4 linked regions of the Coturnix japonica genome follow. The protein of the gene in region 4 interacts with the protein of the main gene of each other region in a pairwise test. Links are inferred from orthologs where the notes say so. Each region holds a gene or a part of one and is shown on either strand. Other genes may lie near its edges.

Region 1 (6,190 bases), on a different chromosome or scaffold from region 4:
GTCTTCCGCTTCTTGGCCGAGGGTCTCTCGAAGACATCCCTCACGCCTGCTGCTTTCTGCTTGAAGAATTTAGTGTTCTGTGCACTTTCTTGGCCCCAGGCAGAGTCAAACGAGGTGGTATCCTGGTCTACCAAGTGCGTGTACTTTGTCCGTCCTGAGCGCCCAAAGTTCTTGACCTGGGAGGCAGGAAAGATTGTGAGCATCAGTTGGTGTACGATGTGGGGACCCTATCATGTCACTGCTCCTTCCCTCGTGAGATCCCACCGATCCCACGAGCCCCAGCTGAGCAGCACTGGTGGAGCTGGGGCAGCGCACAGACCTGCCACACACCCACCTGCATGACTTTGGGCAGGATAGTTTTGTTGAAGTGGTCCTCGAGGGTAGGGGCACTGAAGTCCCGCTTGTACACCTCCTCATCTTCGTCCTGCGGAGGAAGGACACACCTGCTTGACTTGCAAGTTTCCAGCAAGTGTCAGTAGAAGACAAGTGGAGAAGAGCTACCGAGAACCAGCTGTCCTGGGACTGCTGCTCCATGCAGCAAGTCCCTGACGAACTGCATTCGTGTCTTTACTCACCCTGCCTGCCAGACCTGACAGGCACCTCAGATCCCCTCAGTCACTTCAGCAGCACGCTGCTGTTGAGGGCCAGCTCTGGTCCTGTGTGCTTGGCCAGCCCTTACTTGGGTACCACTAGGGAAAACTCCCCCAAAACAGCCACGTGGTCCACGCAGCCCCAGGCCTGGCAGCAGAACTCACCATGAAGAAGGCGCCACGGTGGTAGTACTTCTGCAGGAACTTGTATTTGCCCTTCACTGCCTTGTTGGTGATGACTTTGCCGTTGGCTCGCAGCTCGGCACGGCGCTCCTCCTCTGTCAGGTTCCTCATCCGCTCGATCTCTGCCTTCTCTTTCTCCATGCTGGGCAAAAGAGAAACCCTGAGCCCCTGCATCCCTCAGTGCCCTCCCAAGATGGGACAGCTGCTGCCACCCGGGACTTTCTGACGAATACGTTGACTGACTCCATAATGGAGTAAAGCACCTCAAGAAAATTCCTGATGCTGCCAAAACAAAGACTGAGAAAGAGACGCCTCAACTGCCCGCTGTCCTGCAGGGCCTGGGACTGCAGGGACCCTCCCCTGCCTTAAGCAGACAGTACTTACGCTTCTCGTTCTTCACGATCCCGTTTGATGCGCTTCAGCTCACGTACTTTCCAAGCCTCGTACTCCTCCTCATCATTCTCATCGTCTGTATCGAGAGCATCAAGTGCTGCCAACGAGCGCTTATTCTCTTCCAGCTCCTTCTTTGCCTCCTCTTCCACGATCTGAAGCCAAGACCAAGCTCAGCTCACTGCAATGGCTGCCCCAACATGCATGCCCCAGTCTGCCCCGCTGTACCTTGAGTGTGTACTTGCGCCTCTCTTCTGCTAATCTCTTTGCCTCCTGTTCTAGCTCCTTCTGCTTCAAGGCTTCTGCTTCTCGCTCCTGAACTGTGATCCGGTCCTTCCTGTGAGCAGGGACCACAAAAGCCTTCAGCCTTTCAACATGCCACTGCAGACCTCTGCTCCCACTGCAGCCTCTTTTAGTCTTTATGCCCCCCACGGCAGGGCCAAGTCCCAAGGCTCTCTCCTTTCTGATTTTGCTCATTCAAGAGCGACCATACTCAGTCTCCTCACATCTGCAGACATGCACAAAGGTGATGGGAGACCCTGCTACTGGCTGTGGAACATGTTGGAGCACACTACCTGGTTTCTGTTGTGCTGTACCTGCCTAAAGTCCCCAGTTGGAAGTACCCAGCCATGCCCTACCAGGTCAGTCACTGCCCATCCCTGATGCAGTGCTTGGCCCATGCAGCTGTATCACCTTATCACCTACTTGCGGATGAAGACAGGTTTGAGACGTGGCTCCATTTCATCCTCGCTGTCTGTGTACTCCTCGTACTCAGACTCTGACTCAGACTCTTCTCCAGATCTGCCCTCATCTTCCAGCTCCATCACTTCCAGCTCCTCAGTTTTTCTCTCCTGCGCTCTCTGACGCATCATCCCACGCCGACGCTCGATCTCCTAATGGAGACACATCAAACACAGACTCAGCCAACCAGCCCCACTATCGCTTCCTTCCTTTTTCCATATAAAAAGCATGATGTTGAGCTTATATGATATGATGTTGACTGCTTATATAAGCCCACACCTCAGAACGCAGGTGACCTCCCTGGTGCCCCATAACCCACAGGCTGTGGTCACACCACAGCTGGCTTTAACTCAGGTCCCAACATCCACCCAGTCTCACCACAGTTCACGTGTGTCTGCAAGCACGAATTCCAGACAGGGCCTAAGGGGACTTTCCCAGGCCACATCTGCTCAGCAATATAACGAACCTCATCATCGATCTCTTCCTCTTCCTCTTCACTGGTGTCCTCTCTCTCCACACGCCACGCTTCACCTTCTACCTCAGAATCACTCTCTCCGACCACTTCAGGCTCCACAATTTTGCGGTGTCTTGCCAGCCTGCAACAAATGTCCACTCGACTACGAAGCTCTGAACACAAGGAGACTAAAGAAGAGAAATCTTTGCGATCTGTTTCTAATGAGACCGTAGTCAGACCCGGGACCACGAAGCGTGTGAAGGAAAGAGGCATCCCCTGCGTGCTCAGGAGCCCGGAAACACAAAGCTGGGGGGGAGCACGAGGAGGGAGCAGAGCCCGGAGCCGAGCACTCACCGCTCCTCCACGTCCTCAGTGATGCGGTTCTGCAGCCGCCGCAGCCGCGGGTCGTTGGCGACCTCCTCCTCCTGCTCCTCGGGCTCCACCTCCTGCTCCTTCGCCTTCTTGATGAACTGGAACTCCTCGTCCTCCTCCTCCGAGGATTCCATGGGCGCGTAGTCGGGCCGCTTCCCCGACACGTACCGCTTCACCTTCACCTTCTCCATAGACAGCTCGCCTGCGGGAGGGGGGGGAACAGCAGCGGGAGGAACAGCAGCGGGAAGCCATGAGCAGCCGGGCCATGAGCAGGGCGCCATGGGCAGCCGGGCCATGAACAGCCGTGAGCAGCCATGGGCAGCCATGGGCAGCCGGGCCATGAGCAGGGCGCCATGGGCAGCCATGTGCATTCATGCCATGAACATTCACGCCGCCGCCGTGCCCGCGCCCCCCGCCCCTCCCGGCGCCCCGCACTCACCCTTCTCATTGCGGACGGGCACGGCGCCCGCCGTGGACTGGATGGGCGGCTGCTTCACGAGAGCGCTGGGGGCCGACATGGCGGCGGGACGGGACGGGACGAACCGCAGCCGCTCACAGCACCGACCGACCGACAGACCGACAGACCGACCGCTCACCCGGAACTGCAACTCCCGCTTCCGCCGGCGTACCGGAAGTGAACGCGCGCCGAACCGTCGCAAGCCGCCGGAAGTGACGCTCAGCGTGGAGGTCATTTCCGGCTCCTGTGGCCGGATGTGGAGCTGGTTTCGGCCCGGTCCGGTCGCGGTGCAGCGGCGGTTCCCCTCAGGGCTCGGTTCCCCTCAGGGCTCAGATCGGCCCCGCTGTGATCTCTCCGCTCATCGCTTCGGGGCTCGGGAGTGGTGACGTGCTGCGGAGCCGGCCGCACGTAGCCCCGGCCCGCGCCGGGTCCCTGCCCGGGATTCCCGGGGCCGGCTGCCGAGTCCTGCCCCTGCTGCTCGTGTGGCTGCGGCTGGAGGCTGCGCTCAGTGTCGGTGCTGAATACCGGGTTACCATCGGTGCTGAATACCGGGTTACCATCGGTGCTGAATACCGGGTTACATCGGTGCTGAATACGGGTTACCACGGTGCTGAAACGGGTTGCCCATCGGTGCTTGGAATGCCCGGGTTACCATCGTGCTGAATGCGCGGCGTACCTCGGTGCTGAATTTACCGGTTACCATCGCTCTGCAGGGCTCTCCCCGGGCTGTCCCCCGCCCTCTGGCTGCCAGGACTTTCCCGCAGCACCGGCCCAGGGCAGAGGGAATTACCCGCAGGAGCAGCCCCTACATGGAAGCGGGCAGGTTTCCTGCCCCAGCTGTTGCTGCTCACGTCAGAGCCCTTCACACACCAGTTGGGTTTCGCAGGAAAGCAGCCCAGCGCCAACTCGTAGCAGCTGCCCACGCGGTAGCAGCCAACCACAGGAGATAAGATTTCTCTTGAAGCCAGGAAAAACTGGGTCACCAGCCACCACAACCGCGTCTGCAGCGCTGCGGTGCCTCCCCAAAAGAAGGGAAGAGGTTTTATCTTCCGGGAAATCAGCACGGGGGTGCCAGGCAGTGAGACCTGCTCCTGGGGACTGACCTCAGCATTCCCTTGTGCTGGCAGGGTGGGTCCCCTGGGCACAACAGCTCCTGGGTAAGCCTGACCCTGCTGGTGCTGTGGCAGGAGAAGAGCTGCCACTGAGCAGGCCCAGGCAGAGCTTTTGGCCGCTCCAGGGTCCCTGTGATTCTGCTGTGCGTGCAGCCAGACCCCAGTGCTGCAGTTGTCCCGCTGCCTCGGGCACTGGTGGCTTTGTGCTCCTGCAGCAGCAGTGCTTGGGGGTAGGCAAGTCCTTCCTGGTGTTCCTGGCCTTGATGTCCCGATGACAATTAGAGCTCTGTGCCCAGCTCCTGCTCCGCTCCCAGTCATCAGCTGAGATATCAATTTTGTGTGGTTATCACAGCGTGTTCCTACCTAATGGTTCCCGTGTCACCATGGCAAGGAGCGAGCTTCAATGTATGACTCAGTGAGTGAAACAATTAGGCACAATGGTTACAGGAAAGCTTAGGAATTGCACACAAAGCACATCGTGTCCTGATCAGGTGAAGCTAAACTCAAGACCTCAGCAAACAGGAAAATGCTTCCTGGCTGGCTTCGATGCTGTGCCTCAGGGGTTTGATGCGGTGACAAGAAGCAGCCCTGACCCTTTGGTGTGCTTCTCTGCCCTGTGTCCCACGGAGCCGCACACGGCTGCAGCAGGAGTGAGGGGCTGGGAGTGGCAGAGGCGGTGTTTGGGCTGTCTGGGGCAGGGGACGCAGGCTGATACAGCTGAGAATGCCCCCAGCCTGCTAGAGCACGTGGTGAGGGGGCTTTGGGGGCAGTGTGTGGGCTCTGCTGCCTGTCCTGCAATCAAAGTGTGCTCAGAACCCATGCAGCGCACTCAGATCGGGTGGGCTTCCTTTCCCCTGGGTGGCTGCAGAGCAGATGGGGGCTGGAGATGGCAGCTGTGATACTTCAGCAGCCTCGTGGCAATTGATGACAAAGGCAGAAGGCAGATAAAGTTACAGAGACACGTTGTGCCGCTGCTGTTTGTCTGCAGGCTGCACCGCGGGGCAAGGTCAGCGCCGGATCCCCGGCCCGATGTTGTGTCTGGGAGTGCGGGGCGGGCAGAGCCTCCCATCCCACCGCAGCCACGTGCAGCGCAGCCCCCGCGGCAGCCCAGGCTCCCCGCACTCCCCCTGAGGCCGCTCAGTGAGCACCGCCGGGCTGAGCCGCTGTCCCGTCTGCCACCGCTACCTTCACTTTGGCTTTCTCAGCTCTGTGTGCGCGCAGACCTTCCTACCCCATCTCCCTGCCCTGCTGCCCGCTTCCTCCCAGCGCAGTGGTGTCTCTGAGCCCACCCCCAGGTGGGGGTGCCTGGCGCAGTGCTGCCTTCTGCAAAGTGCCAGCAGCCATCGCACAGCTGGCGGTTGTGTAACCTGTAACCACAAAGCCAAACATTGACCTTATTTTCCACGAAAGTGGGTTTCTATTGATTGCTGTGTGTAGTTCCATGGGGGGGGGGCATGGGACGCTGTGTGGCCTGGGACATTGTGGGGCATACGTTGCTGTGCCACACGCTGCTGGCACAGCCTGGGACGTGCTGAGGCCTCCAAATCCAGGCCATTGAAACAGGGGAACGCTCACAAGGAGGGTTTGTGCTCCCACAGGTGCCGGCCCTCCAGGTGCGTGGTGTTATTTTTGGCAGGAGGAGCGGCCGTGCGCATCCAACGCCAACAGCTTGTGCAACACAGAGGTACTTCCCGCTCCCCTGCCCCGGAGCGCTGAGATAAGCGGTGGGACAAGAGGCCTTTGTTGGCTGCACTCTGGTGTGTCACGAGGCCCACGTGCGTGGTTTCATCCCCACGGGCTGCAGCCGGGCTCCTCAGCACGGCCCTGAAGCAAAACCACGGGGCAGGGCTGGGGCAGGCTCTGGGGGCCTGCAGAGCAGGGGCTGCGTGGG
Region 2 (6,124 bases), on a different chromosome or scaffold from region 4:
TTGTGCTGTTACATTCTGCAGGTGACCAAAACTGAAGTTTGTAGGTATCATTTTACCAACTGTTACCCATGTAATGGTGAGATGTGAGGTCTGACTTTTGGGCCTGATGGAGAGCTAGGGAAACTGCCCAGCTCAAGTAACTGCAGGTCTGCAAACAGGACAGCAACAGCTAAGACATCATCTTCACTACCCACTGTTAACAAATCAGCTCAAACCATCCCCAAAATCCTCATCTGTACACTGGTAAACTTATCCACAAGTGGGACCTTGTGAAGAAAACGCCATAGATCTAATAATCTCATTGTTAGTGCTGAAGGAAGGCCTTACTGATCTTTTGCAGGTGAGAACGTTGCATCAGTTCATACAGCTGCAATGCTCCTTTCCCAGCCTGCACAGAGCACCTGCAGGGAGCCTGCAGCACGCTTTGAGATCAAGCATAAAAGGCAGCCCCACTGCTGACTTACCGTTAGCAAGCTTCAAACAGTATAAATATAGAGAAAACTTAACCTTAAAAGTAAGCAGTAATTCAGAGCAAGTGTTAAGGTGTAAGATTCACCCATTTTAATATTACTTGCTATCACTCAAGTATCCAAACACCAACTTTCCACTGAATGACAGAAGCAGGAAAAAAACCCTACAAACTAGTTTAAACCTCACTACAACAATTGTTTCAGTCCTACTACTCATGATACAACTGATGAGCAAAAAGAGCGCTGCTTATGGTGCTCATTTTATTTAACAGCCTCTGCAAAATGTGTATTTGCTCTGATTTTTTTTTAATAGGGCCTAGAAGAACCAAACTGGACAGAACTAATTGGATGACTTGAGCAGATAAAGCAATGGTGCTTCACTACAATAATGCCATTCTGCAAGCAAATGCTGGAACAGAAAACAGCCTCTCACTCCACACATTTGCTTTAAGGGTTTAGAATTCACAATTGGGAAAAACAAAAACAGTGAGTATGTAACCTGAAGCTAAAAATAAGAAAAACACTGGATATGCAACTTAATCTAAGGGGGTAGCTCTACTTGCAACATGCTGTGTTCCTTCCAGAGCCCGAGAGGAAGGCTACAGCACATCATTTGTCTCTCTTTCTTGTTTGGATCACATGAACATTGCTGGCAGAAGCTCATGCCCCAGTGCCTGTGAACCCAGTTCCAGCCTCTGCATCTGGATCAAACTTCATTGCATTGGCATCTCACATCAGGAAGGAGCCTAGCAACTCACAAACACATTTCTCAAAAGACCTAGTGGCTTAGGAGCACCAAGATGTTGCACTCTTTGAGTAGCTACAATGATGCAAGGTCTGATGTTAGATGTGACAGAGGGGTTACAAAGAGGTTGTTACAACAAACCAACATTGTACGAAACAGGTGCACCATGGCTGCACTGAAAAGTCAGCATTAATGCACTTGTCTTATCTAACAGCACAGAAGCCACTCCTGCAATCACAGTGGGCCTGTCTGCATGTTCCAGCATCATACAACTGGCTTTGTGGTATGCTATCAAAACAGCACAGACTATTTCTTCGCTCTGCTTTTAAAGTATATACCACAGAATTTGTTGTCCTTGTGTTACGGGGGAATTTTCCACTTCATCTTTACAGCACAACAGTGAAAACAACATTTCCACCATACGCTGAAGATACATCAGAATAAAGATCCACCCTTGACCACAGCAACAGGTACTGCATTTTCCACTGCAACTAACACTAGAAGGAATTCATTTCTGACAACAAAAACCATTCTGGTGCAGTCAGTGACATCTCTGAAAACAAGACAAAGACCAGTAGGACCCATATTGAGGATACATTTGCCAAAATAACACAAACTCATCTACCTTTGAAATGGATTACAATAGAATCAGTGCAGTCTTTGCATTAGAACAGGCATGAGTGCCATTACTTGGAGCACATAACAGTGGGATGCAGAATAATGCTGACTGACGTTAACCACCCCCCATTCTCTTTCCTTCCAAAGCTCATCTCTTTACCTCCCAGCCACATATATAACAGGAATCCTCCCTACGAGCTGCTCTTGCTCTGAAACCACACCATCCTCCTCTCACAGCAGGACTCAGTTTCTGATGACTCCTTTCATTTTTTTCCCCTTAAGCATCCAACAGCATTATCTTATTCTGTCATCTCAACCCACAAAGTACTTGTAAACAAACACCATCCAATTAAATCCACTGGAATTTTTGCAGCTCGGTTATAATACAAAAACCCTGACCCACACAGAAGTTTGGTGCAACTAAAACCAACAAAACCTAATCACTATGACCTACTGCAGCAACATCTGCAGAACCAGAGCAGGAACAAGTCATGTCAATGGGAGGGAAGGCTGAAGGGACGCTCACCATTGCCCTGAGTGAGGTCATGTTAAATGACACTTCCCATCCCATAGAGGTGTCCAAGGCCAAGGTGGATGGGGCAGCCCAAGATGGTGGGGGGCAACGAACCCACAGCAGGGGGTGGGGCTACACAATCTTCAAGGTCCCTTCCAATCCAACCACGTTACGATTCTACGACATACCTGAGCTGAAGACACACCAACACACTTTAAGGAGTAATTTGTGATCAGAATCACGTGTACAGATCAGATTCAGACAACAAACCGTAACAAGGAGGAAAGGACCCTCCAACTGGACTCCAGAGCTTCTAAAACCAACGCTCAGAAGCCCGAAGGTTCTGAGAGAACAAAGAGACCCAATAATGCCCATGGAACCCACCACACTGAGGACCACAGGCAAACCATGCAGCAAGGAGAATTCTACTGCAGCAAGGATAATTCGACGCAGATTATCACCTTGTTGGGCTCTCGTGAGCGTTGCTTTCTCTCTTCAGCCTCATTCCATTCTTTGCAGTCCTGCTTTGAAGGCAGCTTAAACCTGAAAAAAAACACACAAAAGTAGAACTGAGCCACGATATAACACAGAAGCTAAGCATAATACTAAAGGAACAGCAGGAAGAAGCAGGAAAAGCCCTCACGGATGGGTCAGGAAGGGTTAGTTCACCTCACAGAGGGGCTCAGTATGAAGCACCGAGGCCGAGCCCTCCCACCCTGTCAGCGCAGCCCCGGGGCTGAGGTGAGCGCTGAGGAAGGGACAGGAGGCCACGGGGTCGCGGCACCGGGAGGAAAGCGAGGGGCGGCCGGGGGCCGTTACCTGCGAGCCGGTGGGCTCCGTGCTGCGCTGACTGACTGAGTGCCGGCTGCACTGACTGACTGAGTGACCGGGTGCCGGCGGCGGGGCCGGGCCGTGCCGGCCGCGTTAAGGGGCCGCACCGTGCGGGGACACTTTGCACCCAGCCGCCCCCCGCGGCTCGTTGCGGGGTCAGCGGGCAGGGACTGACCTCCCCAACAGCCAATCAAAGGTCTCCATTTTGGTCCCGCCCCCAACCTCTCGCCGCCGGAGTTTTTGATTGGTCAGTAGGCTGACGGCAGCTCCGCCCGCTGCTCTTGGCCCAACCTTTGCCGTAAAGTGAAGACAGAGCGTTTTGCGACAGCGGCGGGGGGAGGTTGAGGCGGATCCGGGGATGGAACGGAGGAGGATTGGGCCTCCCCGCGACCGGTACAAGGGGCGGGTGAGGCGCCGCGGTCGCCTGGCAGCAGTTGAGTAGGAACGGGGCGGGATGGGCCTGGTAACCCCTAGGAACGGGGGGGTGGGGCCTGGGGGGCTCATGGGGAAGGTGGGATGGACCCTGAGAGGGGCTGGGCCCGGGTACAGGCCAAAGATGCTGCGAAGAGTAGAAGAGTTGGGTCACTGCTGGTACACGGCCCTTAAAGCTGACGGGCTCAGGTGCCGTTTCAGGTCCGTTATTTCTTTCCTCATCCTGTTTCCATCTCTCATTTCTGTGTTTGCAGCTCCACGTGGGTTTATGTCTTTTAAGGTCGAATTCAAGCGATGGCGAATATAATATACAAGAAAACGTGTTAGTTTGGTTTTATATTACTCTGTACAGCCCTTCTCTCTTTAATTCACCTCCAATATAAGGGCTTCAGAACTGTTTCCTATTCTTTACGCAGGAATCTGACACTTGGGGCCTTATCTTAATTGGTTTTTCGATGCTGTCATGAATAACACAAGCAAGAGCTGGGGTTGTCATTTCTTTTGTGCAGATACAGTCACTTTTCTTTCCTCTTTGAGCTTTGTGCCTTCTTACTATGACTGAGCCAAACCGAGTCTGTCTGACACCTTCCCCCTCTTTGAAGTTAAACCTCTTCAAAATAAGCCCCTCGTATTATCTCTTTTAATGACTCCCCCTCATGAGATGCTGTTTGGTGTGAGCATGGCGTGCCTTACCTGTCCTCTTGGCAAAGTGCTCTGCAAATTAATGCTGTAAATCAAACGTGCAATGGTGGGATCAGGGAAAGCACAACCAATACCACGTGGAGGAGTTCTAAATCTCTTGTGCTCTTACAGCCCTGCTGTGTTGGATGAATTGGTGCACGACAGCTCAGGTTGGTTTTGAACATAGGAGCAAACGCGTTGAGATAATTTTACATTACTAGATGTTCTTGTAGGAAGAAATAAAACTCAAAGACAGAAACAATGGCTACATAAAAATATTCCGAATGATTTGTGAAGAAATTTTATGAGGTTTCAGGCCATAAATTTCCACCTCAAGTAGAATCACAAATAGATTCTTCAAATGAAGAGGGAATTTTAAGTATCAGATCTAATCTCTAACACATGGAATGTGGGAAAGGGTTCTTTGGTCTGCTATGGATGAGGTGAGGTACATTTTGAAGTTGCCGGATCAGCCATTGCCATCCAAAATACCCCAGCAGAGGGAACTGTAGATTATTCCCTAGAGGAAAGTGCTTATTTTCTAATTTTAGGTTCTCTTAAATCTACACCAAGGGAAATACTGCTCAGTTGTGGCAACAGGCAGCAGGTCTTGGTCTACCCCCAACCTGGGTAGCAGGTCTTGGTCTACCCCCTCTATTTAATGGCTTTGGGAAGCCATTCTGTCAATGCATGCTTCAGTTATAGTTTATAAAAACCAAAACATATTATAAAAATGAAAGTATAATTCTCAATGCTTGATAGTTTTAAAAGTGTGAGAAGATTATAAGCTTAATAAACCCTTGTAGCCTCAAAGTTTGTTAATTTTCTCCTAGAAAGCAATAATGTTAAATGTCTTTGGTGTGATGATGACTGGAATAATGATTACAAACAGAAATGGAATAGCTAGTCGTTATTAAGAGACTGAACTGTTTTCTTCCCTTGTTAAGAGATGGGAAACTTAATGTTTAACCAACAGCTTGAAACAGCTGGCTGCAGGAACATACCTTGGCTATGCCAGATTTGAAGAGAGGGGGATCCCAAAAGCATACAAGAAAATTCCCATAAAGAAAATAAATCCCATTCCTAAATTCACAGTAGATAAAAGGTAATGAGTTTCTTTTAATTAAAGGGCAGTGGTTAGATAATATGTTAAAACTGTATAGAGTAGAACCACTGATGAAAAAGAAACCCTTGTGATCATGAGTAAATCTGTTCTCTGGAGAGATCTGACACCCGTTTATCTATTTGCATAATGACTGAAAATTCTGGGGTGCTTAGCTGTTCACACTTTAAGAAAAGGTTGGAATTAATAGGTTTTCTTGTAAAACTGCTCTGAATGTTCCAGCAATTGAAAGAAACATTCCATTGGTTTTGTGATAAAGCTTTTCAATCTTTTTCTGAATATTTAAATGCTTTTAAGGGTCTTTTACACCTCAAGTAAATTTTTATTTTGAACTTCCCAGCCATTGGACCCTTGAGACCAAGCTTAAAGGCATAGTTAACCCTTTGTATTATATGAAAAAACTTTTGGATTACAAGATTTATGTGCTCAGAGTAATAGGTTTGCACGGCCAGAATGATAAATTAATTCCTTGGTCCTCCTTGCTGAATTAGCCCGGTTCTCTCCTGAATATTCACACTTTCACCTTAAGTCCTATGTTTTGTTGCACATAGACTGATCCTTTTTTATTTGTTTGTTTTAACTAGAATGAGATTGTCCTGTTCGCCTGAGTGGAGAAATAAACACTGCCAGTTCAGATGAAAATTCCCATTTGGAACATCACACCTGTTCGTAAAGCAATCCCTCCCAAAGGAAATGAAGATTTAGCAGCA
Region 3 (6,122 bases), on a different chromosome or scaffold from region 4:
ACCCTCTGTACTTCCTTCAGAAGCGCACCTCTGAGCAAACAGCAGATGGAGGTTGCCAGAAGGGAGTCCTGCAGTTGGTGGTGCAGAGGAACCACACCGTGGTACAACAGCCATCTGCTATGATTTTGTAGCATCTCCTTGATCTGCCATTCTGTGCTACCTCTGCTCGCTGGTTCTCACAGCAGTCTTAGTCTCATGTTCCCAAGACTGAATTAGAAAAGTAATTTATTATCCCACCTGTTGCTTCCCTTTCTTCCCTGCTTATAAACTGTTAGCTCACTTGAACTTGCTCTGAAGAGAAAGTGACTTCAGTTTCTTTCAAACAATCTAAATTCTTATGGCACTTTTGCTCTTACCTGTGTTAGGACTGTTTCCAAGCTGTCATAGTTAAAGCTGTGCCTACAGCCCCACAGCCGATCTTTCTCTTTTCTTCGCTACCCCAAGTACTTGAATGTCATCATCTTTGACTCGTAGTACTGTAGTAGAGACTGTTCGGTCTCTGGCATGTGCACATCACAGCCACCTTCTTCAGAAAAACAAAACAAGTCCTAAAGAACACTCCCATCCCCTCATACCCTCATGTCAAAGCTGAAGCTTCCATGCCTTGACCAGTTGGTGGTGCCTTCTCTACTGACCTCTAACCCGAGTTGTCCCACTCAGTTCAGATCTTAGAACGTGGCCACTCTTCTTTGTCTGGAAGTCTCTTCTTAGCATTGCCAAATTGCAGTCAGATGTACCTGACTTTGGTTGTGCCCTGTTTAAGCAGGTCTCGCCTTTCCTGTGGTGATGGCACCAGTCGTTAGAGCTGATGTGCCCCAGTTCTGGCTGCTGCATTGCTTCTCATGAGCAAGATGTGTTCCCAGGCAGAACGCTTGGCAAGTCTTCTCTCCCCCTTCCCTCTGAGCCTCTCACAGCCCTGTTACATGCACAAACACTGGAATCTCCTGGTGGGTGCTGTAGGGTTTGGGGGCTCTATTGGTTGTCTTTTGCCTTCTGTCCCTCACCCTCAGCCATCAGAGAAACTGAATGCGCTCAGTGCCTTGGTTGTGAGCTATTTCAGACATGGGTGGCTCCTAACTCAGTTTGCTTTGAATTCTTGTGGTTTCTGTTGGCCTAAGGCCTTAATTGCTGAAGTCAGAAGATGACTTCTCTCATCTGTGTGATAGATGAGAGACAGGAAATGGGCACATGGCTGTATCCCCTATGAGATATTTAGATTGGTGACTAAATAAATCTACAGCTTCTGGTCTGTGCTTCCTGTCAGTTGCTGGCTGGCTTGCAATGAGAGAAACTGACATGAAAATATCTGCATATCAAAATACATTACTAATAGATCAACCTGACGAATAAAACTGCCTGCAGCATGTGTGGGAAGGAGGGTGAGATGAGCTGGCAGTGAGTACTTGGGTGGGCTGGGTGCTCCAGCACATTTGTCTTTGGTGGGCAAAGCACTACGTGAGGAAACCAAAGATGCTTCACAACGTGCTGTTGGTAGCAGCAAGGTGACAAAGCTGGCCCATGTTTTCATTGTCAGCCTTTAGTGGAAGCAAAGGTCCTACTTCTTAAAGGTACTTGCGGTGAAACTTCTCGTGCTTTGATAGAAGGATAGAGCAGAGCCTCTAAGCTGCCTTTTATTTTTATGCATTGATGTTTCTGAGCAGCTTGTGGTAATGTGCCTGCCTGCTGTGGCTGATAAAAGAGAGCACCTTTTTTTGTGTCCTTGTTAACTACAGTACAGAGCTGAGTGTTGAATGCAGCTGTATCCGCCTTATGTAGTGCTTGTGCTGACCCTAGGGCAAACAGAGCAAGGAAGGGTGGACTCTGATTTTCATCGTGCCACATTATTCTTAAGCTTTTGGCTTGTGTGTGTATATAACATCAGTCATGTGCTGTCCTTACTTGCAACAAGAGTTCTACTGCACAGATGCCAGTCCTTGCCTAAGTTCTTGACCTGCCTGGGTCAAGCAGCATGGCTGTTCTGTACTGATGGGAGATATTGTGCAAGAGCACAACGAACTGTATTTGTTTAAAAAGCATTCAAGGCTACAGGGTGTAAATCCAAGTAGCTGCTTCTGCTGCACGAATTCAGAGTCGAGCATAATTACAACTTCTGTGGAAAACTAGTTTGTTCTGGTTGCCACAAATAGAAACCATGTTTTCATGCCATGTGTTCTTACTTGAAATGTGATTTCGGTACGTTTAAACAATGGTTATAGCTGCCCTTGTATTGCTGTGTGCTTGATGGAATAAACCACTGAACAAAGAGCTGTTTCTTGTGTTTACTTGGAACCCCACAGCAGTTTGGGTTGGAAAGACCCACCCCGTGCCATGGGCAGGGCTGCCCCCCACCATCTCAGCTGCCCAGGGCCCCATCCAACCTGGCCTTGAGCACCTGTAGGGATGGGGCACCACAGCTTCTCTGGGCTGTGGTGCCTCACTGCCCTCTGGGGAAAGAATTTCCTCCTACCATCTACTCCAAATATCCCTTATTTCACAGCTATTCCCCCTTCTCCTGTCACTATCACACCACGTAGAAAGTCTATTTCCCTCCTGTTTATAAGCTCCCTTTAAGTAGCAGAAGGCTGCAATGATGTCTCCCCACAGCCTCTGCCCTGAACAAGCTCAGTTCCCTCAGCCTGCCTCCATTGCTTCAGCTCCCTGAGCAGAATCGCGCCCTCCTCCGAACCCGCTCCAGCCTTCTTTTGACGTGCTGGGGGCCTGGACTCAGTACTGCAGACGGGCCCTCACAGCCTCAGCTTTTTCTTCCACTTAGGAAAGAGCTTTTAATTACGCGCGATGGCGCCGTGCCTCTACCACAGGGCGCCGCTCCACAGCCCGGTAGGCAGCGCGGGGCGGGGCCGCGCGTGCGCCTTGCGAGGGGCAACATGGCGGCGTGCGAGGCGTTGGGCGCGGCGCGGTACTTCACGCGCTGGTACAAGGCAGGTGCGGCGCGGCCGGGAGGGCGGGATGGAGCGTGTCCGGGGAGTCACCCTTACCCGTGTTTGTGGGCTCTCGCAGACGTGAAGGGGCGGCCGTGCGAGGATTTCTGCGTGCTGCAGCACTCCAACAGGCGAGTTGGCGGGCGGGGACCCGGCGCCCTCTGGTGGCATCGTGCTCCCCGCCTTCCCCCCCCTCAGCTCTGTGTATCGAACGGCGGTGTGAGGGGGGTGGGGGCGATGCCCGCAGCTGAAGCCTGGTTGTAGGTATTAAAACTCTACTGCACCGCTGCGGCACGGTGACTGTCGTTCTTGTTGTTGCAGGATCTGTGTCATCACGTTGGCAGAAGCCCACCCTCTTCTTCAGCATGGGAAAACAATCACAAGTATTAATTACCAAATCAGTCCCAACTGTAGCAGGCTTCAGAATAAGGTCTCTGGGAAGTCCAAAAGGGTACGTAATGTGTATAGCATGCAGAGGGACTTAAACATCCCTTAATAGATCCCTTAACTTGTTTTCAACCAAATGCTAAGGATTTGAGACTTTTTTTTCTAATCACAGACCCCTGGTCTGTGACAGGATGGGGGGAAATGGCCTCAAGTTGCACCAGAGTAAGTTTAAGTTGGATATCAGGAAACACTTCTTTACAGAAAGGGTTGTTAAGCACTGGAATAGGCTCCCCAGGGAGGTGGTTGAGCCACTATCCCTGGATGAGTTTAAAACCATTTGGATGTGGTACTCATGGACATGACTTAGTAGAGGGTTGTTAGGGTACTTTGGTTGGGTTGTGGTTGGACTTGATGATCTTGAAGGTCTTTTCCAACCTGAGCATTTCTATGATTCTATGTAAGTAAGTATAACCGTGGAACCCATAGTCACAGAATCACAGAATCACAGAATGACCTGGGTTGGAAGGGACCTCAAGGATCATGTAGTTCCAACCCCCCTGCCCAGCAGGGCCACCAAACATACACATTTACTAGATCAGGTTGCCCAGAGCCCCGTCCAACCTGGTCTTAAACACCTCCAAGGACGGGGCATCCACAACCTCCCTGGGCAGCCTGTTCCAGGACCTAACCACTCTCCTAGTAAAGAACTTCCCCCTAACATCCAACCTAAATCTTCCCTCTTTTAACTTAAAACCATTTCCCCGTGTCCTGCTATTGTCAGCCCTTTTGAAGAGTTTACTCCCCTCCTGGGTGTAAGTTCCCTTCAGGTACTGAAAGGCTGCAATGAGGTCACCCCGCAACATTCTCTTCTCCAGGCTGAACAAACCCAACTCCCTCAGCCTGTCCTCATAGGGGAGGTGCTCCAGCCCCCTGATCATCTTCGTGGCCCTCCTCTGGACCCTTTCCAAAATCTCCATATGTTTTTTGTACTGAGGGCTCCACACCTGGAGCTGTAGCTATCACACCTCCTTGCTTTGTTCTGTAACAGCTTGTGATGTTGCTGATGTTTATGAAACTATAAGAAGAGCCGTAATTAACTGTAATTAAGAACATGTATGTATTTTTTTCCCCATTCAGGGAGCTCAGTTTTTAACAGAACTTGCCCCGCTCTGCAGGATCGCTTCATCAGATGGAGAAGAATATACCATTTACAGGTAGGGAATACACCGTTTACAGGTAAAGATTTGCACACCCCCACCCTGACACACTGTGCACTTATTACTGAGTTTGAACACTTCTGCAGTTGCATACGAGGGCGACTGATAGAAGTGAATGAAAACATTCTTAGCAACCCAGCACTTCTGCAAGAAAAGGTGAGAAGCTTTTTAGCTTTTAGCCTTTATTTTACTACTTCAGTGCTAACATTGTTCCTCCATTGTAGCCGTCAACCGAGGGATACATAGCAGTGGTTCTACCCAAATTCGAAGAGAGCAAGAGCGTAACTCAGGGGCTCCTGACACCAGAAGAATACAAGGAGGTTTTATCGAAACGTCAGAATTCTTCTTCAGGAAGTTAATGATACAGGCAGCAGCTATGTTTGATGCTAAATAAGCTGCTTGTACCCAGCAGCTTTCATTGCATTGAAAGGGCTGCATTTATAAAAGTGGAACTTCACGTATTTGTTTTATTCTTGTATGAAATGGGGAAAAATAGTTTGTATATTAAAATCTGTTTTCTCTCAGTCGTAGTACGACATGTTTTTACATACGCACAGATTGATTTTGGAGAGTGGTTGTGTTCCAGGGACCTCTTTGCTCTTGGCTCAACGCAAACATAATACACAGAGAAAAAGCACAATTGAGCTGTCGGGTAATTTAGCCAAACTAATACAACGTGGGGTTTGACAGCAGTGAATTGAAAACAAAATGCAATAGGAGCCTGCCTATGATGAACAGATAACCTTGAAAGCAAGCATTTCACATCAGGTTACGTTTCCTAGCACCCTGAAGTCAAATAATGCCCTTTTTACAGACGTTTCTCATAATCAGTATTTACTTCAATGTTAAATGCTGTAAAGTCTACATGTAATACTTCAGTGGTTCTACATGCAATTCAAATCCTGCTCAGTACAGTTTAATCATAAAGGAAGCAACAACTGCCATCTACAGACAGAGACAGTGAAGGAGAAAGGCTTTGAGTCAAAAGTGTTAATCGCTTAGAAGTACACTTTGGAAATAGGAATAATGCCAACCAAACTAAGATTCAGCGCCAAGCTCTCGCAAGAGTGTTTTTTCTTAGGACTGAACTTCATTGTAGGTATAACTAACCTTAATTTCAGTGCTTTAGGCCACAGTGTTTCAGTCTACATTCCTGAATGGGCTTTATAAATCCATAGACTGAAATGGGCCAGAGAGGAGTTTACAAACGTCAGCAGTAGTGTTACATAGAGCACAGGGTTCTTTGTGTGAAGGGTCTGTTAGCAGCATCTTTGGGTTGAAACATCCATTAAGACATTCGTAAGCATGAATTACAAAACCAGTATCAATAGGGAGCGTAGGAAATTCACATTATGAAAATACATAATGATTACACTAGTTGGTGCTGTCATCGTTAAGTAACAGGACATCTATTAGATGTGACAAAGGTCAACAGGTTTAATTCAAATTAACCTGGGTTGACTTTCCACAAATGAAAGCAAAACTGAGAAACTTCAGCAAGTGTTATTTTCCCTAATGGAGCTTCTGCAATTTCTAAGTGCTGTAATTACTTGCTCTCTAAAAATGTCATTTTAGCCAC
Region 4 (5,479 bases):
TTCACAAAGGTACTGGGAAAAAGGTGGTGAAAAGCTTCTAGATGGTTGAGGAAAATAGTGCAGTGATTTCATGGGACTGGAACTACCATAATTCAAGTATCCAGGCAAACCTCTGCTGAGTTCTCCAGTCTGCTGAGCTAAGTGCTACATATTCCTACTTGCTTATTTTCTAAAGAGCAAGGTCTCTCAGCTGTAGGAGGACCGCTGTGCTGATTGCTATGATGCTTGACAGGCAAAACTAATAAAGGGAAACTAATGCTGCGGGACTGCAGTGAAACTTACAAAATCAAGGAAAAAAAGGGTTACCTTCTTAGGCAGATAATGGCCATACAATGTCAGATCAAATGTTTGACTATTCTAGTGTGATGTTATGGTGAAGTGTGCATGCTTCTTAGTCTACATTAGAAATAGGGCTTGGTTTAAAATAACAGGAATGAGAAACAACAACATCCAAATAAAACTCAGCTGTCAAACAAATTGTGCTGAGATGTTGGGCAAAATCAGGGCATTTTCCTCTCCTTAAAACTTGGCACTAATAGAGACCACATGACGATTTTGCCATTAGTTTTACAGGAAAGAAATGATAATTATCAGTCTTCATCAGCTGATAAGTGATGAACATGCAAAATTTTCATGTTAGTATGTATCTTTAAGCACCTGGAAATTAAGATGAGGGTGACAAATGCTGAGGGAGACAAAAAAGGCAAGATTTGGTAAAATCTGAGTTATTTGAAGGAATGCACTCATTTACAACAAACAGAGAGCAAATGTTGTGATGCCACCTCAGCAATGTTTACTGGGATAAGAAACACAAAGCAGAGACCTGAGTTTTGCAGTCTTAGTCATCTCACTTGTATTTGGATGAACTGTGAAGTTTAAGTGTCATTGTGGAAAGCACAATTTATGGTTTTAACCACTAAGGGATGTCAAATGGTCATCAGGAGAACCTGCCATTTATTCTGCTTCACTGACAATGCCTAATTATACTTCATGGACAAGCCCAGTCAGATTATTGAGAAATGCAGATTTTAAGGACTCTAAACAAAAATCTTTACATTTTCTATCCAGTTTATTCATCTTTTCAAAGCATTTTGGATAACACACCAGAAAAATATAGTTTGAGAGTCTAGCTAACTCTTGTATTCAGTTTTTGCATCTGACTGAAAAGGAATTAACTGCACTCAACAGGAGTTTCAAAATATTCTAGAACTGTCACAGAACTGATCCTCGTTATCTAGAGCTAGCAAAGCTGGTTCCACCAAATCTACTGGTGATGACCTATAAAAGGGGCCTTAATGTCCATCAGAAGCAAAGTGACTGGGAATCCCTCTGCCAGAGATCTGTCACACTGGGCGACAGCCAAGCCTGCTAGGGACTCATTCCAGGGCTTTCCATTGCTACAGCACTCCTTTAGATAGGGAGACATAACTATTTCTCCTAAATAAGTCAATTAAAAATGATCTGCCAACCCCAGATGTTGGGTGTAGAATGGAACAGAGCTAATACCAAAGTCAGAAGCAAGCATATGAACTGTTCTACAAGTCCCCTGGTGCCAAGCACACACATCCCTGATGGGTTTTGGCCAACACTGACACCTGAGGGAAAATTGGGAAGCGGATGCAATACCTGTCAGGAAGGTGTGTGAAGGAAGGGTCACCAACTTTAGGGTAGGTGAGGGCTCAGAGTGCGGGAAGGGGTATTCTTTTGCTGGAGAATTTAAAAAAGAAGTTGCTGTCAAGGGTTAAAAATAATCAAGAAAAATAGAGAATAGGCAAGAGTTAAAATGCAAAAAGAAAAAAAAGATAATATGTAAACAACCCAAATAGTGGCACACCGTGGCAGAACAATAAGAAGCAGGTACAGGGCCAAATAAATGTCAAGCTTTAGTTAATCACATCCTCCCCCCACCCCTTCTCCCTTTGTCTGTCAGCATCTTAGGGAGTGATCCTGAGCCACCCTGAACAGTGCTCCCAGGGATATGCAGAAGGAGCTCAGCACCTCACAGGAGGGTGCTCAGCATCTTGCTGAGCAGGGCTGACAAAAGGGATTACGATAAAGTGTACCGGGCGGGGGCTTACTGCTGTACTCATCTGGGTGCCAGATAAGCAACTCACAACATCTGTACCACAGGCTATCACAGAGACATTTCTTGCATAAAGAAACAAAAGGTGAGAGAGGGACACACATGCCTAGTTTTGTGGGGAAGCAAGTTGGTGCCTGATATATCAGAGCAATTGTTAAAGACCTGTACATCCTTTCTTGAGGGTGGATTACTAGCACAGTGCCAGGGCTGAGGAAAGCTCAAGTTATGCACGGTGCACTGGGTAACACTCTCCTAACATTTTTCATACATTGCGTGTGGCGTGAATGGTGTAACTTGCTTGTTTGGAGCAGATCCTCCTGTCTTCTTCTACCTTCTCTGCTTCTCTGCCTCCCTCTGAACATCTTCCCTCCTCCTCCCCATTGCGTACTTGCCAAGTGTCCTGTTGTATGACAATAAATCCATGTGGGTGAACGCTTGTTGCTCAACACATTCAAACAGGGGAGCTGTGCTCTTCCACTTTCCCCTTTACAATTACATCAAAGCAAAACAAGAACGAGAGACATCTGACTTGCGAGGCAGAGGGCCTCTGCATGTGTCACTGAACTCTCTCATTTGGGTACACATGGCTCAGCCATGACACTCACCTGCTCTGAGTAGTCATTGCCATCAACGTCGTCGCTGTTGGAATGACCTCCCGGACTCTGTACATCTATTCCATGGCTCTCCAGGATTGCTGCTTCTTCGAAAAAAGCAAATGGATCCCTAATTTATCTGATGCATTAGAGTAATTAAAAGTTAACTATTTTTTTCAAGAAGTTAGAAAAACTGGAAGAACAGAGTTAGTTCTTAGCCTCTTCCTCTTCACTCTCCAGTATTTGGGAAGGTAGCACATGAACAGATACTGGTTTGCCTGAAATCCTTCCCTGTCAACTAACAGACTTGTTTGCGAGTAAGAATCCTTGTTTTCCAGCCAGTCCTATTAGAAATTAGCTTAATTTCTAATGCACTGGAGTGGCAAAGGCATTCCCTGTAGATCTTCCCACATAGTTTGGACTGGCAGGACTTGAGGGGGGCGGGGAGTGTCTGAAAATAGATGGAGAAATTTTTAAAAGCACTTAAGGGATTTAAAAACAATACATCTTCATCTTCCAGAAGGATCCATGCATCTAAAGCTCCCTTTAGTTCTTTTTAATCTCCTTCCAACCCTCCTCCCCATACAGTACACATAACATACAGTACACATAACATACAGTACACATAAAGCCATAACACCACCCACCTTGGACTATCTTTGCTTTGTTCTCCCCCTCCCCCCTGACGTAAGACAGACAGGTTTCATTTTTGAAAAGTAAACGTAGATTAACCTTCAGTAACATGCTACATTTTGTACAAATAACTTGTTCATCTTCACAGATATGAGAAAAAGCAGCAAGACTGTATAACACTGCCAACATTTGCAAAAATACCATTAAACATGCAGATATGGGCCTTGTCTTGCCTACATGTTGCAAACTCAGTCCTGCACCAGTACTTAGACTTGTGCATAAAACTATGCCCAAACGGCTGAAGTTTGCTGGGTCCTGGCTGCTAAGGTGAGTTTACTCTCATCAGAACGTCTTGCATTTATCCATACGAGAAGGTCTATTTCTTATAAGTTCAGCATCACTTCTTATTTCCTTATGATGAGGTATTCATGCACAAAAGGCTTGCAGGGCTAGTTGTTGTTTTATCCTGATGATCAAGGAAAAATATCACCTTGCTCCAGACACCCAGTGCTGTGCAACCCTATAGAAAGCAGTAGGGAGCACAGGTGTAATGTGAATAAGAAGCTAGATTATGGAACCTGTGGTCCCAGTGGCCAAATCTGAGAGGTAAAACAACTCATCTGGTCTCTCAGATCCCAGTGTGGTCTGAGGGATGGCAGTAAAAGACAACCCTGGGTTTCAGTATTAAAAAGAAGTGCATTTCAATGGAACACAGACACAAGGAAACTTACAGCCATATAAAAGCTCCTCACTACAGCCACTTGTCACTTAATCAATACACTAAGGTTCTGAACTCGCAATAGTCTCAATTTCCCTTATTTTCAATGCAGACATTTTCAGGTTTAATGTCAGATTTTATCTGGAATGACCAGGTGAGTCCGAGTGCAGGGAATGCGATTCTCCCTCGGAAAACTCAATTCTTGTTTGGATTTTTAAAACTCATCTCCCAGTAAAACTTTGCCTCATTTTTCCTGCACCGATGATGGAATTCCAGACACTGAACTCCTACCCGTATTTGAGACAAAATCTGGAATAGCAAATCTTTTAAAAATTGCCCCACATTTCAATTAAGATTATCAGAACCTCCCGTATATTCAGTAATGTGATCCTGTGTAATTTTTATCTCTCCTGAGCAAGTCAATGTACTGAACCTTGAAAGCAGGCTCTCTGATACATTACCGATATTGGCTCGTCTCTTGATTTCCTTTCTTCTGTTGGCAAACCAGTTGTACACTTTAAGGGAGGTAACTCGCTCCAGATCTGATAACTTTTTTCCTATGAAAACAATGGGCAGGGGGGAAAAAGATAGGCAGACTAACCTTGTACAAGTGACAACTCCTGTAGTATAAACAGCACTGAAAAGCTGTTAGAACTGAGAATGAAGAAAATTTTATGTGAACCAGTACCGTGCCCAGATGCTATAGTAATAAATGCCAAATATCTCCCTAAAAACAAAGTAGCCTTTCTTCTATTTTTAAAATCTGAAATACAAGAATTTCTTTGCAGCTTCAATCAACCAAATCCTGAGCCGTGGGAGAATAGAGGGCTCCTTTTCTAGTTCAAGCACAAAACTGAGATTCAAAAACTCAAATTCAATTCACAGCCCTGCCATAAATCCCATACCCTTGGGCTAGCTCTCTTACTATGTGCAGCAAGGGTGCAGTTCAATGATGTGTTTTCTTTGGTAGCAGCAAAATGAATGAAGGAATTTTGTCCCTCCTCAGTCTGCTTTCCTTTTTCTCCACCAGCAGCAGCTATCGAACTCCCACAGCACTCATCACAGCCTTTCCATTCTGCCAGGACACTTCTTATCTTTTGGGGATGTTGGAAACCAGACCACTGGAGTGTTACACTTAAACCAGCAAAACAAATAAACCTAATAACAACCACCCAGCTACAGCAAATAACTCCTCTGCCTGATGACTGGCCTAAGAAGGGAAGACAGGGGAATCAGCATTGCAGGGACATGATGGAAACCTCTTCTGTTGGCTATAAGACTACCTGAGGTGGCTGATGTAGCTGCATCTCCAGTTCCCTGCAGCCTATACAAGGATGAGACCCTCACTGTGTGCTTCTGTGTCCACTAATCTGGGCTTACTAATACTAAACTGAGAATTCATGCTGCTCTACCAAGTATAATTGCTCTGTGAAAAGGGAAAATGCAACTTGT

What was found.
Region 1: the proteins of HMBOX1 (region 4) and MFAP1 interact in binary tests that used the Homo sapiens proteins (3 or more experiments, as listed by UniProt). The two-hybrid records come from large-scale screens. The link is inferred for Coturnix japonica from reciprocal best matches to the Homo sapiens genes HMBOX1 and MFAP1.
Region 2: the proteins of HMBOX1 (region 4) and ASB7 interact in binary tests that used the Homo sapiens proteins (3 or more experiments, as listed by UniProt). The two-hybrid records come from large-scale screens. The link is inferred for Coturnix japonica from reciprocal best matches to the Homo sapiens genes HMBOX1 and ASB7.
Region 3: the proteins of HMBOX1 (region 4) and ABITRAM interact in binary tests that used the Homo sapiens proteins (3 or more experiments, as listed by UniProt). The two-hybrid records come from large-scale screens. The link is inferred for Coturnix japonica from reciprocal best matches to the Homo sapiens genes HMBOX1 and ABITRAM.

Annotation. Positions count from the first base shown.
Region 1 is NC_029525.1:18,262,155-18,268,344, reverse strand, and holds the start of MFAP1 (microfibrillar-associated protein 1), read right to left. Parts: upstream 3,356-6,190; 5' UTR 3,249-3,355; coding exon 3,170-3,248; intron 2,933-3,169; coding exon 2,713-2,932; intron 2,501-2,712; coding exon 2,371-2,500; intron 2,057-2,370; coding exon 1,869-2,056; intron 1,501-1,868; coding exon 1,392-1,500; intron 1,319-1,391; coding exon 1,158-1,318; intron 916-1,157; coding exon 756-915; intron 425-755; coding exon 335-424; intron 177-334; coding exon 1-176. UniProt on the Homo sapiens protein: Involved in pre-mRNA splicing as a component of the spliceosome.
Region 2 is NC_029525.1:15,696,903-15,703,026, reverse strand, and holds the start of ASB7 (ankyrin repeat and SOCS box protein 7), read right to left. Parts: upstream 3,356-6,124; 5' UTR 3,167-3,355; intron 2,891-3,166; 5' UTR 2,809-2,890; intron 2,639-2,808; exon of another isoform or gene 2,536-2,638; intron 1-2,535. UniProt on the Homo sapiens protein: Probable substrate-recognition component of a SCF-like ECS (Elongin-Cullin-SOCS-box protein) E3 ubiquitin-protein ligase complex which mediates the ubiquitination and subsequent proteasomal degradation of target proteins.
Region 3 is NC_029517.1:79,741,235-79,747,356, reverse strand, and holds ABITRAM (protein Abitram), read left to right. Parts: upstream 1-2,855; 5' UTR 2,856-2,885; coding exon 2,886-2,943; intron 2,944-3,018; coding exon 3,019-3,070; intron 3,071-3,260; coding exon 3,261-3,390; intron 3,391-4,463; coding exon 4,464-4,540; intron 4,541-4,629; coding exon 4,630-4,699; intron 4,700-4,767; coding exon 4,768-4,902; 3' UTR 4,903-5,067; downstream 5,068-6,122. Other genes in the region: CTNNAL1 (alpha-catulin), read right to left, coding at 6,090-6,122. UniProt on the Homo sapiens protein: Actin-binding protein that regulates actin polymerization, filopodia dynamics and increases the branching of proximal dendrites of developing neurons.
Region 4 is NC_029518.1:96,913,558-96,919,036, reverse strand, and holds part of HMBOX1 (homeobox-containing protein 1), read right to left. Parts: intron 4,585-5,479; coding exon 4,489-4,584; intron 2,784-4,488; coding exon 2,689-2,783; intron 2,484-2,688; coding exon 2,352-2,483; intron 1,708-2,351; coding exon of another isoform or gene 1,663-1,707; exon of another isoform or gene 1,627-1,662; intron 1-1,626. UniProt on the Homo sapiens protein: Binds directly to 5'-TTAGGG-3' repeats in telomeric DNA. Associates with the telomerase complex at sites of active telomere processing and positively regulates telomere elongation.